2 linked regions of the Tamandua tetradactyla genome follow. The protein of the gene in region 1 interacts with the protein of each later gene in a pairwise test. Links are inferred from orthologs where the notes say so. Each region holds a gene or a part of one and is shown in the gene's direction. Other genes may lie near its edges. The genes, in order: FST and TXN.

Region 1 (9,931 bases):
AAAATACACCATATCCATGATTTGAAGACTCAATATTGTTGAGAACGTCAGTTCTCCCCAATTTGATCTAGACCTCAAGTTTTTCTTGTACTAAATGTGATGAGAATATCCAAAGCAATCTTGAAAAAGAAAAAATGCTGGAGGAATTATACTACCTGATTCTATTTCTAGCTATAAAGCCACAGTAATCAAAATAGGGTACTGGCATAAGGATCAACAAATAAGTCAACGGAACAAAATAGAGAGCTCGGAAATCAAATGAGGACATTTGATTGTTTATAAGTGTGCAAAAGCAAAATGCAAAATGGATCTGGAATGAATTCCCTCTGTGGGAAGATGGCTAAAATACTACAGGACAATGCAATAGGATGTCTAAAGTCTTGTTAAAATGCCTTGCAACTTTGGACCTATCACAGACATTTCACTTCTTGGGCAAATTAGGTATTAGAGAAGAGATAATTCATATAAAAATAAAATTTAATTTTAAAATGCGAGTGATAAATTGTATCTATTGCTGATTGTAATATTGTACAGCTAAACACCTAAAAAAAGAATTCATTAAAAAGTAAGCAAATAACTGCTACCCTGTGGAAAGGGAAAATGAGGCTGCAGAACTCCAAATATACAAAAGAATCTGCAGCAAACTGACTGACCATCAGCCAGCCAATGAAACAGGAACAGTAGCGCTTACTCTGACCAACTCACCGCTTTAATCGTAGTGAACTAACAGAACAACAAACACCCTCCTTACACTTCCAAGCAGTAGAAAGTGTAAATGGCATCAGGGTTCAAACTGCTAAAGCTCACACACTGATATTTTCAGACATATCTAGATAAATAAATCATTTGTTTGGTCAAATGGACCTAAAATACAGTAAAATATTTAGAAGTTCCTATTAATTCAACATAAAATTCCTATTCTGAGGCAAATTTGAATTCTTTACTATTTTTTTTAATTACCTCATTATGAAAAACTTGAATATGATGATAGTGCTGCTTTAAGTGAGTACGTAGCACAGATAGATGACTCTAGAAATCCAAAATATATCTAAAATTGGAGATGGGAGTAAGGCAATTAAAATGTTACCCAGAAATAGGTAGTATGAAAAGAAAGGACTCTCTGATTGGATCTACATAATACCAAAGCAACATTGAAAAGACAAAAAGTCAATTAGTTCATTGTTTTTTCAGTACTGTACAGAAAACTTATATTTCAATAACTTTTGTGAAAAAGAAAACTGGTGGTTTGGACATCTGAATAAATATTGCTTTTATGTACTCAAATTTCTTAACTTTTTAGTTCTGCAACAATTCAGCCAACACAGAACTGTTATTCCCCACTCCACCTCAAATCCTCATCCTAGCACTACAAAATTGCACAATTTCAAAGACCATGACGCATTAAGTAGCTGTTTTTGTACCTAGAAGAACAAAATCTGATTTTAACATAATTGCAGCCTGTTTTCAAATGCTTAAATTCTGTTCCTTAATCAAGATTAGTTATTTGCATTGAAAACTGAATATTCATTTTGTAAAACACCTAACTTCAAAAAAGTTTGTCATTTAATTTAAAGCAAAAGATAAAAGTTGCTCAGTGCATCGCTTTCAAATTTTCCATACACAACTTCATCCCACTCCTTCCATATTCTCTTTTGAGGGACTGAATTTATCCAAATCATTTCTAGTCTCAAACAACAGATTCATATGATTTCAAGTAACTATCTCGGGAGCTAGATTGAATCATTTGCTAAACTCTAATATTTTAAATTTATAAACTTCAAAAGGAAGATATCTTTTGAAGCTGACAAAAGACAATCAGAGAACAGCAGTCTTTTTTGTGCGCTGCCCAGAAATACAGTTACAAAGTGGTCCCATTGTGTTTCTCATAATTTACATTTACTTTTTTGGCAAAGCAGAAAGAAAAATAAGAAGTCTAACTTGGAGACATACAACAAAAATGAAAGACGGCATTTTTATTTTAAAATGTCCTCCTGACATTCGAATATCTACAAACACAATATTTAACATTTACAGAAGATAAAACAGCAAAAGAAACAGCAGCTGTTTTTCTGTGAGGTCATTGAACAGGTGTGATACCATCTCGTAATGCTGAAATTGGATGGATCTCTTGCTGATGCCCACAGGAGACCCATATGGAACCAGTATTGACCTGTGTCTCATTTCCTTGGATATGGCCAGAAGGTAATCTGGGAGGACAAGAGTCCCAGTGAATGATCTGTGCAGATTTGGAGCAGACATTCTCCCAAACAGATCAATACTATCCAAGGTGCAACTGAAAAACAGGATGAGCTTGTATCATTAAACAAACACCAGGCTGCTTATTCACAAGGGCAAAAGCAACACAGCATTTGTATTTTGCACAGTGTGTTTGCCAGTGACCTCAACCCTGACCTCTATGGCTACCCTCTCTGGGGTGAGAAGTAAATCCCGTGTTAGGTCTGCCTCGGGTCTGCAAAACTCATACGAGCGGTGGCACTTTTTTACAATGAGGCCTACTGTGTCTGCTTGGGCCTAGCCAAGACAATTACATGATGCCAAAACAACTAGTCAAAGCAGTCGATTTAGTCAAATTACTGGTCAAACAAAGTATTTGGCATTATATAGACAAAAAAAAAAAAGAGAGAGAGAGAGACTGAATTTACACTTTTTACACAATCATACTGGAATTGCAGGGTCAGATTCTTGTGTTTAGAAAATTTGTATGATGCCAATTACTTCTATATACATAAGCTGATATTAATTGTCTGGATAAACCAAATATTATTTATTATTCAAAGATCCAGAAAAATACCTTTTTTATTAGCCAAAAAAAGTTTCTATTCTTTTTTCATTTAGCCCTGCATCCTCTCCCAAGATAATATTTTTTGCATATCTGTACACTCCTATTTATTTAAATATATCATATGTACATATGTAAATGAACAAGCTATAAATAAAATAAGGACATATATTTTATGTCACTTTTCATTGTTAGAGGGTTAGAAAATGTAAGAAAAGTATGGTTCTGCCTTCTTCAAAAGTAATATTCCCACTAGTATTAAGAAAATAAACTGTGGATTAAAATGTGACTACATTCCTCTAGGCAAGGTGATGTCATACAGGACAGAGCATTACTAAAATTTACACATTTTGGATAGCACAAGCATGAAAAGTCTAAGGAAACGATACTAACTACCAAGAGGGGACAGGAAGATTCAGGACTAGTAAATGTATTTAAACAGGGGCAAATATAAACTCATGTAAATTTGTTCTGGTATTAAGTTTTTTAATGGCCATTGGTAGCCCCTCCATAAGATTCCAACCTCTACCAGCTAAGGTTACTTATGTATTTAGGTTTACTTTCTAACTCTAGATGCACGGCTTGATATTCCTGGTTAAAACAGAAGATGCATTCCTTGCTGCTACTGAAAACTAATTTCTACAGGAAAAAAAAAAGTCAAGTAACAAAAAATGTTAGCTTTCCTCTTTCCCTCAACTAAGCTTTCCCCCCCCCAAAAAAAGCCTCGAAGAGGAGAAACTTCCTTCCCCCACCCCACCCCCAGCACATTACTGTATAAGAACTATATCCATCTCTCTGAATAAAGAAGAAAATTCAGCTTTGGAACTCTGCCATTGAGTGGCGGCTCCTGCAAAGGGGACAGTTTGCTATTAATTGTTAATGTCTGCCATTAGAGGGCACTAAACAACTCTACATTAAGGCTGCATTTGGAGGGAAGAGAGAAAGGGAGACGGGAAAAGAAAGAGGGGTGGGAGAAAGGGGAGGGGGTGAGAGTAGGGGCAGAGCCGGGAAAGAGGGAGGGAAAGAGAGAAGAGGGGAAGGGGCGGGCGGACGGGAGGGAAAGAGGGAGAAGACGAGAGAGAGAATGAATCTGGAAAGATTAAGAAGGATGTGGAGCCCCCAGAGCCGTCTGAAGTGGGCAAAAGGCCAGCCTCCCCCAGGCCGCCCAAGCCCCTCCCCTGCCGTCCTCACGACGGTAATTATAAAGCGAAAAGCAGCGACGAGGTCACCCGTTTTTACCAGCCTGCTGCACCGAATGCGCGCGGTGCAGGTGCGGCGGCCGCTGGGCTTTGTGATTCATGCCCACTTTCAAAGCGGGGCTTGGGCCCGTCTGAGAGGCACCCAAACAACTGTCTTCTAATATTAGCACGGCTGTATTTCGGGATCTATTATAGTCTGTCCAGACAGATCCCATTGTAATGGGATCTTTTATTAAAAGATTAGCACTATCTCCTGCAGTTGGTGGAAAAAAATCTGTTATCACTGAGTTATTTGCAGTTGTGGAGGGGGTGAGAGGGGGGTTAATGTAGACGGGGGGTGGGAGGGCGAGAGGAGGACTGTGGTGGCGCGGGGGGGGCGCTGGCGAGGGGGTGTTGTTGAGGTGGGCGAAGAGGGGCGGATTTGAAATTCGTAGAGCAAATCCCAGTGACCTGCGAATGTCCAAGAATTTTGTCTGCATACTTCGCTGTCTGTTGTCCTTAGGGTTTCAGAAGCGAAAAGAATAGCAATTTAAAAGGCAGATTTGGAATAAACAATATAGCATTTTCCGTGAAGTAATCGTTTTATATAAAAGGAAATATCGCCTCCTCAGTTTCATTCAGCGGTGCCAAAAATGTTATAAATGAGAAACCCGCCAACTTTCAGCAAAGAATGCCAGGCACTGTGCTTAACAAACTGAGGCTACAGAAGTTCATTATCGATGTTGCAATCTTTTTTATTCCACGAACCGAGAGAGCGAGCGAGAGAGAGAGAGCGAGAGCGGGAGAGCCAAGAGCCGAGAAAGAGACTGGGAGAGACAGACAGAGACGCAGGACAGAAACTGGGGAGTCTCTGAGCTGGGGAGGAGGGGCAGACCGCCTACGTCGGCGCCCCCGCTCGGGGCTCCAATTCCAGACGCCGTGAAGTGAAAGGGGAGAAAAGAAAGGGAGAGGGCGCGACTGTGACGGGCTGGGGGTGGGGGGCCGGGCCTGAGGTGTTAAACATTTTTGTTTGCTTCTGACTCGTCGAGACGAAGGGCCGTGTCAGTGGACCGCTTAGCCAGGGTGGAAGGTGCCGGGGCCGGGGTTCTTAGCAACAACTCTGGGCCGGGGCTGGCCGCAAAGTAAGGCACGCACAGACCCAGACACAAAACCTCACCGGGTCCCGCGCCTAAGGCTGCGGGGGCCTAACCCAGCAGCGCGCCCCGCCGGAGGCGCGAGGCCGGCGCGTTCCGTCCCGACCCCGAGCGGGCTATTTTAGCAGCTTGGGTCTCTCTGGGCGTTTGCAAAGTCTTCCTGGGGCGGAGGAACCGTCGTGAGGAGACCAACTCCCGGGTTCCCCCCGCTCCGCCCGTAGCTTCTTCCTCCAGCGCCCCCACCGCGCCCTCACTCACACACACGCACACGCACGCACACACACACACACACACACACTCGCCACCCTGGGCGCGCCGGCGTTGCCTGCGAGCGGCAGCGTGCAAGACTTGAAGTGTGTGTTCTTCCCCACTCCCCACCCCCGAAGCATAGCCCCCCCACCCCCACCCCCGCCCCGGCGCCTTCCCCCTCCCTCTCGCTCCTACGCAAATAAGAACTCAGCGATTCCCCTCCTGCCGCTTTGATTTCGGGCACCTCCAACAGATAATTGGGAAGGGTTTCCAGAAGGTGGGAAATGTCACCTGATTCACACTGAACTTTTAAAAGCTCCCCACCCCCAAGGAGCCGCGCACACCCTCGCTCGCGGCCGCCCTCCCACAGCCCCACACACTGGGAGACCGCCCACCGCAAACCGCGGAGACCCCCGTCTAGATTTAAAGCGCGGCTGCGCCCGGCTTCTGACGTCCATTGAATCGCGCGGGCGGCCGGCGGCGAGCGCGGGGCTGCGCCGGGATCGCTGCGCCCTCCGCCGCTCGCCTCTGCGACGCGCGCCGCTTGTCCGAGCCACCCGCCGCTGCGCCCGCTCCTCGCGCCGCCGCGCTCCTCGCCCGGCGCCTGCCCCACGATGGTCCGTCCGAGGCACCAACCCGGCGGGCTCTGCCTCCTGCTGCTGCTGCTCTGCCAGTTCATGGAGGACCGTAGCGCCCAGGGTAAGCGAGGGGGATGCGCGCTTGGGGAGGCTCGGCTGAGGGCATGAGTTTGTACTTTTCTGTCGTCTCCACTTGGTCTGTTCTCAGCAACGCTGCTCACTGAAGATGTTGGACCGACTTAAAGACTCCGGGATGGAGAGAGTGGGAAAACTGAAGGCAGTGACACTTTAGGTCTGGAAGAGGAGTTGGGAGTTCGGTTATCCTTAAAAAGGAAAGGGAGTGAGCGGGAGTCTCAGTAGTTAGGGTTAGATGCTCCAAGTTTTAGATGTTATCTCCCCTTATGGCCCTCAAGAAAGGGACAAGCATCAGTAGCCTGAAGATTTTGGTCGACCCATTCGCAGTCTAACAATTCTCCCTCCCACATCTTTCGGATACTTCAAAAAAATTACTAGGGGAAAGAAGGATACTGAGTTTTCCTTCGGTGGTTGGGGGACGTGGTTTCAGAAACTTTTCCCAAACTTGGAAATGTGGGTGCTGAACGGGAAGTAGCTTTCTGCCTAGTGGATGCTTCTTCCAACCCTCTCCCACCCACCACCCACCACCCATCACCCACCACCCACCTTGCTAAATAAATAAATAACCCAAACTATTAACCCGGAGTGTTTTAGGAGTAGCTTCCTTCCCCACCCCCCCACCTTTGCCTCCTTCCTCTGACTGTTAACTTTCTGTAGAACATTGAGGAGCCCACAACCGATTTAAATTCTGAGGTGGATCAAGAGCAAGTTTCTAAAGTTTGACTTTTGCAATTAGGTCTGTTATTTCAATGAGTCTTTGGGCAGATTTTTTTCAAAAAATAAAAATAATAGCTTGCGGGTCCGATGATTGAACGAGTCATATTGGTGAGAGGTTTTCCTGATCAAAATCCGAATATTAGAAAGGGGAGGTGGGAGGGTAGAAATTGCAAAGATTTCTTGGTAGGTATGAGACAGGCACATGTAACTGTGAAATGCTCGGAAGCTTCTCCCACCCCCTTCTCTTTTCTCCCCTCTACACTTTTTCTGAGACAGAACGTGTAACTTTCCCTGGTTTGCCGTTAATATTTTACATGTGTTGTAAACTGCCCTCCTGGGCACTGCCCCTAGCCGTCTGCATGGCTCCACGCTCAGTTGCCCGCCTTTCGGGGCAAGGCACTGCCCGGATGCAGAGACTTGGGCGCCGGGGGAAGGCAGCCCTCGGAGATTTCGAAAGATCGCGGTGGCCCTGGGCGTCCTCTGGGTCTGGCGATTGCAAAACGGCCCGTCGGGCAGGCTGCGCCTCGGGGCCGTGCGGGGCAGCTCCCAGCCAGGCCCGGTTGCTTTTTTTTTTTTTTTTTTTTTTTTGCTTTCATTTCTTACGTGTTCCTTTTGCTTATCTGCTCCTGCGCGTGTCGGTGTCTGCCTCTCTCAAGTTCTCTTACTTTCCTAACCTCTGTCACAAATAATACCCGTACCGCCCACATGAAACCAACATGTAAAAACATCCGTCGCATCCTGTTTTTGTCAGGTTCTTTAATCTGCTCTTCGAGTCGCTGCAGGTTATGAAATGGGACGAATAAAAGTAAACAGTCTAGTAAAAGTCAATGCAAGCTGCACGTGTTGTGTCTGGGTCACTGGTAACTGACATTGATATGGCTGGGGCGCTCTGGCTGCTCGCCCTCGCCCTCCCTCCCCCTCGCCCACCTCCCACTTCTCAGATCTGGGCCTTTTTCCCTCGCTTTTCCCATTTCCTACCCCCTTCGATTTATTTTCTGCTTTTCTCCCTGGTCTCTTCCTCTCTTCCCTTCCTCCACGCTTACTCCCTCCCCATTGCCACCGGTGCTCCTTCCGTCGCACGCTCGCCGCCTCCTTCCCCCTACCCCGCCGCACACTCACCCACCTCCCCACCCCTGTCTTTTCGCAGCTGGGAATTGCTGGCTCCGCCAGGCGAAAAACGGCCGCTGCCAGGTCCTGTACAAGACGGAGCTGAGCAAGGAGGAGTGCTGCAACACCGGCCGCCTGAGCACCTCGTGGACTGAGGAGGATGTGAATGACAACACACTCTTCAAGTGGATGATTTTCAATGGGGGCGCCCCCAACTGCATCCCCTGTAAAGGTAGGACTTTTTCTCTCCAGCTTGCAGGCCCTCAGTAGAGGGCGTCTTACCCTCAGCTTCCCTGCTGCCCGGCTGGGGTTTGAGACCAGAAGAGCTTTGTTGGTGGGCCCCCTTTCTGTCCCCCAGCGCTGCTAATCCGTTTGGGTCGCACCCAGTCTGTTAGACACTATATGCAAAACAGGATAGGCAGAGATGTCCTAACTTCTTAGCCAAGTGTGCTGCTGAAGCCAGCCTGCCCGCCCTCTTTGAGAGAGATTTGAGCATCCAGGGCGAAGCGCACAGTCCATTCCTTCACCCTCTCCAGGGTTTCTAGGAGAAAACCTGCCCCATTCCGCAACCCCCACCCCAGAGCATGAACTCTGCACCTTTCCACGAGGCACCCGCAGCCCTCCTGGCTGACCTGCAGCCTGCCCCGCCGTGGTTCTCACTCGTGCCTCTTTCCAACTCACAGAAACGTGTGAGAACGTAGACTGTGGACCCGGGAAAAAGTGCCGAATGAACAAGAAGAACAAACCCCGTTGCGTCTGTGCCCCGGATTGTTCCAACATCACCTGGAAGGGCCCCGTCTGCGGGCTGGACGGGAAAACCTACCGTAACGAATGTGCACTCCTCAAGGCCAGATGTAAAGAGCAGCCGGAACTGGAAGTCCAGTATCAGGGCAAATGTAAAAGTAGGTTCTACCCTTCTTGAGCAAAAACACTACCCCCACCCCATACACACGCACCCAGAAGGACCAACTCTGGCTCCAGCTTTCACCCTCAAGGATGGCATAGTCCTCGCTAAGAGCCTTATAATAATAATGATGATGATAGTAATAATAATAGTGATAGTCAATAGAGGAACCGCTTTCTAATTTCTAAAGACTCATTAAGAAGGAAAAGACCAGCCTAGAGTCCTAGATATTCTCTTAAGCCACGGGACTCGCAGAGTGCCTTTTGATAGTTGATGCTTTAGTTTCATGATTTCCTTGATAATATGCCCATTAATGTGTATTACCTCTTTGTTTCAGAGACCTGTCGGGATGTTTTCTGTCCGGGCAGCTCCACATGTGTGGTAGATCAGACCAATAATGCCTACTGTGTGACATGTAATCGGATTTGCCCAGAGCCTACCTCCTCTGAGCAGTATCTCTGTGGGAACGATGGAGTGACCTACTCTAGCGCCTGCCACCTGCGAAAGGCTACCTGCCTGCTGGGCAGATCGATTGGATTAGCCTACGAGGGAAAGTGTATCAGTAGGTATTCAGGATTGAAGGAAGAAAAGAGAAAACAAAGGATTAAGAGGGCTACTTCTAGTATTATAACTGTGGCATTAACCAATAAATAAAGCCCAAAGCCTTCTTAAATGTGTAGTTTCACCAGAAGGAAAGATAACTCTCCAGTTTGGGTAAACTCTCTTGGCTACAGCATTCTTCATGGAAATCACTGTCTTGTGGAAGCACTGGCATATATATTCAAATGCTACAAGAAGCAGCAAATAATTTACCATCGTGGCAAATTTATAACTCAATTTTACAAGTTTTTTTTCAAGTGCTAGACTTGTTAGAAGAGAGAAATAATTACTTAACAGTTCCTAAAATCTGTTATCAGATTCCAATAGCTGGTGGAATTCTTTTCTTTTTTAAAAGATCCTACTTGTGGGGAAATAATCAGATACTTATTTAATTCAAGGGAAGTGTGAAATGCTGTTCCCAAAATTGCTATTTTCATACACAAATGTAGTATGTAAGAAGCTGTGGGGGTGTGTGGGTGTTTCAGCTTTATAACTGAGCATTTTTGCCT
Region 2 (9,463 bases), on another chromosome or scaffold:
TTAACAGGTAGGCCCCCAAACGGTCTTCCAAGCTGGGGCGATCCCAAAATTCAATTTTTAAGGCACTCTGACAAGTATTCCTTTGAGGGAGCTTCCAGGACTGACTGACCTTCCAGCATTGTCCAAAAGAAATACACTTTTAAATTTTGTACTAGCCATTTAAAAAGATAACAAAAAAAAAATGTGAAATTCATTTAAATAATAGATTTTATTTAACCTAACCTTTCCAAAGTATTATCATTTCAACATACAATTGATATAAAAACGTCAGTGAGATACTTCACATTGCTTGCTTTCCTCCGAAACCTTCAAAACCTGGTGTGTATTACAGACTTTGCAGTAGGTCGCAATTTGGATGCTAAATTTTCATTGGAAATACATGATCTGTGCTTAGATTCCATAAAGTTTATAGTTAAAAAGAGATTCACATATCAGCGTTGTTTCAAACATACTTCAAAGTTTTGCAGTAACTGAATCTAGCATAGGTTTTTTTCAGTTAAAATTAATAAACATTGAATAAAATTTAAAATCCAGTTTCTCTGTCACACTAGCCATGTTTCAAGTGTTTCACAGGCACTTGTGGCTAGTGGTCACCACACTGGTCAGCGGTGCTCCCATGGGATCACATGACACACTGTTTGGTTAAGAGGTGAGACACAGGACTTTCCAATGGAGTTTAGTTCCCTGTTGGGTCATCAGATTCCTCTGTATTCCAACATCCTACAGAATTTCGTCAAGTTAATCCTCACTGCATCCCCCGCCTTAGCTCCTTCCACTCAGCCAATGCCAAATTTCTTACAACAGCCACATAAAATGGTGTAAGCAGTTAGGGAATTATATTATCTCACATTACAGTAAGTCTTCAGTTAGAGAGGCTCCAAGATTCGGTATTTCACTGAAACATCGTCGTGGACTCAGGTTCCTTCCATCTCACCACCGTGCTGTGTTTGTCCTAGTTTACCTCATGGTTACAAACAGGCTGTCCAGTCCCAGGCATCACAACCAGACATGACCTTTTCCAGCAGAAGGAGGAGGCTTCCTTTCATGTGTATTTTTGTAAGTGAGGAGACCTTTCCCAGAAGTCTAGCCACCTTCTCAAGTCTTATTATTGGCAAGGATCGAGTCACCTGATTTTCCTAAATCATGCCTGGCAGGGGAAATGGGATGATGATCGGTTTAGATTAATTGGATTTTAGCCCTGAGTTGCTGTTGAAACTAGAACCAAATCCAAGCACTGGCAGCAAAGGAATACAGGGGAATGGCAGTAGGGAAGCTAATCAAAACTGCCTTCTCCTTGAGGTCTAGGAGCAAAGAGACTACAAACTAGTCAAATATCCCTATAGTTAGAGTTTATAAATTAGCATAAGAGACGCTAGATAGTTTTCAGTGGTGCAATGAGTATTCATGATATGTGTATGGGCTCAAAAACTGTGTTGGCACTTTCCCTCCTCTTCTTCATGAATGAGGTATAAGAATGGGGCGAGTCTTTTGGTGTGTCCACGTGGCCTCTTTGAACCTGTTTCCTCTTCTCTCATCTAGGGAAAGAATACTTATTTCCTAAGAAATGATGGGACACACCCAACACTGGGCATGGCAGGCACCTAATATTGTCCTTAAGTGTTCTCTTATTTTCCTCCTACCTTCTTTAACATAGTACCTTGAGCTCCCTGTTTTTTTGTCACTTACCATATTTCCTTTTACCCTTCTTTCAACTCCCTTGCCAGACACATTCTTCAAACTTATTTAATGCTGGCCTCTCTCTGGAAAAGCCCAGAGCAGAGTTAATCAAATCTTGGTGTGAGTAATTACTTGGAATAGAATGCTTTTTAAAATGCAGATTCCAGAGCTTTAGCCCAAAAGACTGTGGTTCCATAGGTCTGTCTGTATGTGGTCGAGGAATCTGCAGTATTACTATACCAAATTAGGCGTTCAAAACCACACTTTGAGAAATCTATAAAATAAAAGCTTGCTTCAGAGACCTTTGTGCTGCATTTCCCCCCAAATCCAAGTTGGGACCCTAAGAAAGACAGCACCTAGTTCTCCAGTCCCACATGGAGACTCAGACTGAGCTGACCCAGAAATCTGAAGCAAGCTGATTCCTCCATATTACTGGTTTCTGCACTTCTTGATGACATGGAAATATTGGTTTTGCCTGCCCATGATCCATTTGTGGCTTTTCTGGTAACCCCTGGATTTTCCACACTCTTTGTCAAGGTGGTTCAAGGAAGTCTGATACTCCTTTTCCCCGCCCTGCTCCCCTACCTCTCAACTCCAGGTTCAAGCCCAAAGAAAGTCAGCTTCCAGGATGTTTACAAGAACAAGGGATAGAGATGCTCTGCCTGCAGGGATGCTAAACTAGTAGGTACCTAAGCCTGGAGCTGCTGGTGGTCCATCTTCAACAAGGTGGGGAGAAACTGCCTGAGAATAACACCTTTAAACCCCTGGAGTTACTGGAAATATGAGTTAGTAATTGTCTTTTCAGTTTAAATCAATTTGAGCTGTACTTTTTCCTTGCAGCTGAGAGTTCTAATACACAGAGCCAATCCCCCAAATGAATGCATTTATGTCACCGTTTGAACGAGGTACTAAGTGCTATACAAACTGTGAGTGGAATTGAATGAAAGGGTGAAATCCCTTTGGAATGAGGGAAAAGCTAGGATGGAAAAGCATATGGTAAACCAGCCAGAGACTTAGGTAAGTCACAAAATCAGTAATAAGCAGTCAGCTCTATTATATGAGTCTTAAAGAAAAAGGCCTTTTTTTCCCCCAGAGGATGGGGGAAAAGTGGGATGGCCTTGGCCCTAAGAAGCAAAGTTCCTGCCTACAGTAATGTGGGAAACTGAGTTTCATTTGGTTCCATTCACAGTTCGTATAGCACTTAGTTTGTGCCAGGCACAGTTCTCAGCACTTTACATCTGTTGTACCTCATTCAACTCTTACAAGAGCACAAGGCATTATTACCCCCATTTTACAGATAAGGAAATTGAGGCACAGAAAGTCTTCCTAGACTTGCCTAGAGTTACCCTGTTACAGAGTGTGGACAAGAACCAGGCAGTCTAAATGCAGAGTTGGTGATTGTTACATACACATTAGCTTCCTGATTCCTGGTTTTCTAAAAATGTAACATTCTCCACATCCATCTATATTGATCCTGGGGAAGTTGGGAGTGGGTTGGTCCCTCCTGTGACTGAGTCATTGGACGTTTGGAAGTTCCTTGAAGAGGAGAGGGAAATGTCAGCAGAGAGCAGCCTGGGCACCCACTGAAAATGTGCGCCTTCCCTCCCTATAGCTTAATTATCTGTGTTGTCTGCCATGTAAACGCACCAACTATTAGGTCCAGAACCAGGGGTGTAGGCTGGGCTTGAGACACAGCAGCAAATAAGCAAGTTAAATATTATTCCAGTAACACATAACACACACACACACACACACACACACACACACAACCAACCCCACTTTGCCCCAATGCTCCTTACTCTGGGAAGGCTGCTACATTCAGGGCAGTCCATCTCCCTTCTTAAATTGACCTCTTGTCTATATCCTTACCCATGGCTTGGTGCTCTTCAATCCCCTGGAAACTTTGCACAATAGGTTCAAAACCCCAGGTTCTTCCTTCCTCTGTCTGAAAGAGTTTAGAGAGGGAAGCCAGGGGAGGGTGGTAGGGTGGAGGGTGAGCCAGGGAGCTGTTTCACACCGAGATCCAGCTTCACCCAGAGCTGATGGACTCTGAAAATGCAGGCTGGGAGAGCTCTCCCTCCTCCCCCGACTCAGCCTTCAGCTTCTCAGCTTCTCCAGCGCCCCTCTCCTTCTAGCTCCTGACAGGCCCTCCTGGCTTCACAATTCCACCTAACATATTCACCTTTCACACTTTCCTGTCCTGACAGAGCCGACATGCCAAGTATGTGCAATGCATCCCTGTGTCAACTCAAATATCTAACTCCTCCGTTCCAGGCTTCTCACCACCGGTAGAAAAAATACACAAATGCGTACAATGGTGCCAGTACAAATTTGCAAATTGTAACGTCACCAAGCTCAACCAGACCTTCCATAACACTAAGCAAGCCTAATTAGTATTCACAAGAAATAGCTATTATTAGTATTTATTGAGCCCTTACTCTCTTGCCAAGCTCTGCTGATCATCTTATAAGCACCCTAAAAAACTCCTTACAACACCACCACCACCACGGCATAGAGACTAGCTGGATTCCCAATCCACAGACAGGAAAGCTGAGCCACCGGGGTCCCACAGCCTAACTTAACTGCAGAGTTCACCACGGCCACGCTCCCGCCCTGCCAGTCCCTCAGCCACCTCCAACGCCCAAACTGCGTCACGCCCCAGCAGCGGGCTCCTCGGAGAGTGAAAGAACAGGAAGGAGGGAAAAGAGCAACTGAGAACTGTCGCCGTAAATTCCGGAAGGGAGGCAGGGGCCCACACTCCGCGGTTTCGTCCTGGTCATCGTTACTCAGCACTTTGTGGGGTTCGCGGGCGTGGCGGGCCTTTCTGAGAAATCAGCCATGCGGGGAGGACACGGTACTGTCCCCTTGTCGAGCCGGGGGGCGTTAGCGCAAGGCCTCGTAGACCCCTTCGCGGGTGACCCAAGAGGGACATCATGGCCCTGGGAGTGGCCGGCCGCCTCCCCACGCTGTGGAGCAGAGACCACGCCCTTTAGGTTGCCCGACGACCCCCAGCCAGCGAGGCGACAGGGCGGGTATTCGGGAGCAAGGGAAAGGGGAGACCCTGGTGCCCAGCTGGGCCCCGCCTCGGCCCCGCCTCGGCCTCGCCCGGGCCTCCTCCCGGACGCCGCGCTCGCCAGTCCCGAGAGGCAGAGCCTTGCGCCGACAGAGACTGGGCGGGCGCGTCCCCGTCCCACGCACGCCGGGCGCGCCCCCGCCCGCCCCGCCCCCCCCCACCGCGCTATAAAGGTAGGACAGGCGGCGCGCTCTATTCCCAGCCTTGGTCCCGCTCTTTGGGTTTTCGTTGGCGTATGCTATAGTCGGTCACCAGACGCTCAGCAGCCAACATGGTGCGGCAGATCGGCAGCCAGGTACGGCCTCCCGGGCAAGGGCAAGGCGCGCTGCGAAGCCTCGGCAGCCGGGGAAGGCGATGGGAGGGAGCTGGGGATCCCGGCCCTCCTCATCCCTGGGGAAGGGGGAGGCGGCGGCTCGGCCTGTGGCTCCGAGAAGCCGGGCCTGGGCGCGCGGGGGACGGAAGAGTGTGCTCGGGGGCGGTGGGGGGTAGCGACCAGGGGGCCATGCTCGGGGGCGGTGGGGGTAACGACCAGGGGGCCGGGCTGCCCAGTGCGCCCGGGGGCCCCCCTGTACTGCGCCTCCAGCAGTCCCCATCTGGGAGACTAAACGGGGAAAGGTGAGGACACAGAGCGGGTCAGGCCTTGTCCCCATGTGTATCCGAATTCGAACCCTGGCCAGGAGAGGGAAGGCCCCGTGCAGAAGGCCCGGGGTGGGTGGCCCCTCCCCGCTCCCCCAACCTCCGGCTGCCTCCATCACTGTCGGATCCCAAAGATGACGAGGCTTTGCCCGCGCCTAGAGGACGGGTCCGGCTGGGGACATCCCTGGGTACGTGGACCTGGCCGGGAGTCCCCCGAGCCCTTTCCGAGGTCCCCAGGGCAGAGGTGGCGCGAGAGGCCCCAGGTGGCGGCGGGGAAGTGAGGTCCGGGCCGCGCCCACCCGACTCCTCCCTCGGCGCGGGGCGGGTTTCCGGCAGCGCTGGCTTCGGCGTGACTCAGTCCGCGAGGCCCGGGCCCGGCGGTCGGTGCTTAAACCAGCCATTGGGTTCGCCCTGGGACCCGACGCCTTCGGGTACCAGGCAGTGGGTCATCCTTTCAAAAGAGCCCAAAGGCAAAAATTATTCCCGTATTGGATTTATTGCACGCCTAATACCCTCCTGATTGAAAAGCTCAGGGCCTGGGTAGCCACTCAGATATTTGTTAAATACAGTCTGGAGAGTGAAAGAAAGAAAACTGCCTGAACGCGCGAGAAAAGCAGAAGGGGGGGCCTCTAGTGCCTGTTTCGTGGTGAGGTGGGCTTTGGAAACGAAAGTGTCTCTGTAATGGTATTTTTTCTTTTTCCTTTTATGATCAGGAACCAAATGTGATCGTTGTAGGAAATTTGGGAGGGGCCCAAAGTAATTGAGATTATTTTACATATACTTGTTTTGTTTAGGGCTTTCTCTACCCGCCCCGTCCTGCCCCGTCCCCCCATTTAGCCTGAACACTTTTCTTGTAATTAAAAGTTCTTGGTAATCATTTCAGTGTCTGAACACATTACTGAACATCTGGGCAGTTTTCAACGTTTCAGTGAAAACTTTTTTTTTCCCATAAAGCTTTGTACAGTGTTCAGCAGGTTTTTTATTTTCTTAAAACGTTAAAATCTCAAGTGCAATCGTTTGGTCAAGGGGCATGAATGTAAGTGGTGCCAGTATTATGACAGTGCTCCTTTCATTCCCACCTCATCAGTGCTGACTTTTTCAAACCTATTAATTTTGTCCAAATCCATGGTAAAGACAAACAGTCTCAATCTCATTTTATCTTTGATTAGTAGTAACTGGACTTCTAAAATTGTACGAGTTTTTATATTAAAACTAGTAACCCACTGAATTGGTCGAAAAACGAGATTCTTCCTAGTTTCGTTCGACACTTAGTGCATGCCAGTCTCTTCTCTCCAGGGCCTGCAACCCCATGGTAGAATTTAGCAGGTGAAAACCCATTAAACAAGCAGGCCAGAGAGAGACCTCGAGCAGAGTACGCACTAGAAACAAAACTGATTTTGATTTCTGGAGCAGCCATTTTTCAGTCTTAGACTCTTCTAGCTGCCCTGATTGTGATGTCCTTCTCCCTACAGTGAGAGAGTGGACAGGGTGAAAGGAAGGTGGTTACTTGAAGCCTGACAACCAGGGCTCCAGACACTCAGTGTCAGTTGACATTCAGAATTATGGCCCAGAGTCATTGATCAAATGAGTTGCACTGTAATTTGATTTGTAAATATTGAATACATCTTAGATTGCCTATTTCTGTGGTACTTTTGGTAGTTCAGGGCCACTAGGGATGGGATACTGAACTAACTAGAAGTGGGGGGGGGGGGTGGAGTCAGTACAAAGGTATTTTTAGGAAGAAAGGATAGTAGTTACTATTAATTGAACTTCCTCTATCTTACATGCACCAGGCTCCTTGCTAAAATGCTTTACAGACAAGTGTTGCTCTTTGAGCTCACTACCTTTGGACAGTTATGTTGGGGAAAAGAGATGCCAGACTTTACTGCTATTTATTTGTTAATGCCAACTATGTTGTTTTTGTCCTCAAATTATTTGTGTCAGTGATGAGGCCATTTATTGAATCCTTATTGCTAGTTTCTGGGTGCTAGAAATTGTGGTATACTTCATAAAGTAATCTAGAATAATTTTCAGAGTGATGTTTGTTTTAGGTAAAACATTGGGAGAAGAGAATTTGTATGCATACCTGACTCTGTAATTCATGTGTAGCTGTGCCAAGACGTATTGTTTTTGGAATTTTAAGAGGTTTTCCTTGAATTTGATTCAGAATGTTTTGGGAGAAAATATATGAGTGTTTGGACCACATTCTAGCTCTTGGAAATAATCTCATAAGGTGATTTGTTAAGGACCAGTCATGTTCAAAAAGACATATGTTTGTCTGACCAGATTGTCTCCCCTGGATCCTGCCTTAAGAATTGGTAGTTTGTTCTTCTAAAAGTCACATGAGGGAAGGCTTTGAATGAAATACATCTTTCCAAATCAGTGGTGATTTTGAAAACATTTCTGTACTTCTTACTCCCTCCACCCCACACCCGAAGATGCGAGTTAGAGGAGGAATCGGACCTGCATAACTGCCAAGCTTACAGAAGTCATGGCGTTCCAGTCTCAGGAAGGAACATTTGTTGTGAATTGTTTCCCCAAAAACATGAGGTAGAAACTAGGAATCTAGAGGAGTCACCATATTGCATGGGAGTCATTCACACTATTTTTCCACTTCGTATTGTACTAATTGACTTCTTCATGGGCCCAGATATGATGTGATTCTTAGTGGAGAGGCAGCAGGGTGGAGGGATAGTGCTAGTTTTTAATTCACTGTGATCAGCAGTGAAGCCTTGACTTTGGATATAGATATTTATGTTTTGATTTTTCCTCATTGCCTGTTTCTTAGTCAACACTAACGACTTGTGGTTAAAATGAGGTTAGGTTCCTAGGGTTACGGCAGCCAGACCATTGGTAAATAATTCACCGCAGTTGGTGGGGAGGGATTTCTTGATCATTTCTGCTGGTGGAATTTATTTATCATGCATTCCTTGTGCAAAATAATATTCCTTCATGGGAGCTAAAACCATTGTTCATTTAATCAACCATGAGTACAGAGTTTTGAGATAAAGGACAGAAATCAAAGACTGATAAACGATATAAACTGTCTAGATACCGATAGGAAAAAAAAAGAGTACAAGGAACTGTACTGTCAGGAGTTGCCTGAGTGTGTTGGGATTTGGAGGAGGTTATTATCCTTGACTTTTGAGCTTTTCACATTTTCTACCATAGATGATACTAGTTTAATCAGAAGCATTAGCTTTTTTTTTTTTAAGGTAACTTTTTGATGTTTCATCTGTAAAATTCCATGCCTTTGTGACTTTAATTGAAGTGACCCCTTTGATGATCCATCAGTAGCATTTAGTAAATGTTTACAGTATGCCTAGACTTATGTGGAAACATTTTAATACAAAGTCTTATTTTTATTTTTCTTTCTTCACATAGCTTGGATGTATATTAGACAATAACAGTATTTTAAGAAATATGTTCATGAGCACGTGTGTTGATGCATTATATATACATTATATCTTCTTTCATCTTATCAAGGAACACTACCAACAAATGTACAGGACTCCTTCAGCCTAGTTTTTTGGGGGGTTTATTTGTTTTTGTTTTCTTTGTCTAAGAGAGGGGTTCTGAAAGTTAAAAACTACAAGTTGTGCTTTTTGTCCTATCAAGTTTCCAGGGCTTTTAGAAATAAAACTTAGCATCTGCTTTTCTTTTTCTTGCCACAGGAAGATTTTTTGGCAGCCTTGAAAGAAGCAGGAGATAAACTTGTAGTAGTTGATTTCTCAGCCACGTGGTGTGGGCCCTGTAAAATGATCAAGCCTTTCTTCCATGTGAGTATTAAAACAGCTTTTACTTTGTAAGAAATTTCTGGTTTTGGGGTTAGGAGAGGAGGGAAAAGGACTTACTTCATTTTGTTTTGGGATCTTTGGTTTAAAAGTAGCATAACAAATTTTAAATATGGTGCGTGTAACTTATTCACGACAACTTTCAGAAGTTAATTTGGTTGGTCTTCAATGGTATTGTGCTTATTAAAGTTGAAATGTGGATCCTATTTGAAATGCAGGTTTCAGAGTTGATGTGACAGATTATTTTAATCTAGGAGGAATTTATTCAGAGAAAATGTATGTC

What was found.
Region 2: the proteins of FST (region 1) and TXN interact in binary tests that used the Homo sapiens proteins (3 or more experiments, as listed by UniProt). The link is inferred for Tamandua tetradactyla from reciprocal best matches to the Homo sapiens genes FST and TXN.

What each region holds. Positions count from the first base shown.
Region 1 is NC_135335.1:99,584,420-99,594,350, forward strand, and holds the start of FST (follistatin), read left to right. Parts: upstream 1-5,978; 5' UTR 5,979-5,995; coding exon 5,996-6,080; intron 6,081-7,958; coding exon 7,959-8,150; intron 8,151-8,601; coding exon 8,602-8,820; intron 8,821-9,159; coding exon 9,160-9,384; intron 9,385-9,931. UniProt on the Homo sapiens protein: Multifunctional regulatory protein whose primary function is to antagonize members of the transforming growth factor beta (TGF-beta) superfamily including activin, myostatin, GDF11 or bone morphogenetic proteins (BMPs).
Region 2 is NC_135328.1:29,238,188-29,247,650, reverse strand, and holds the start of TXN (thioredoxin), read left to right. Parts: upstream 1-4,899; 5' UTR 4,900-5,021; coding exon 5,022-5,045; intron 5,046-9,060; coding exon 9,061-9,165; intron 9,166-9,463. UniProt on the Homo sapiens protein: Participates in various redox reactions through the reversible oxidation of its active center dithiol to a disulfide and catalyzes dithiol-disulfide exchange reactions.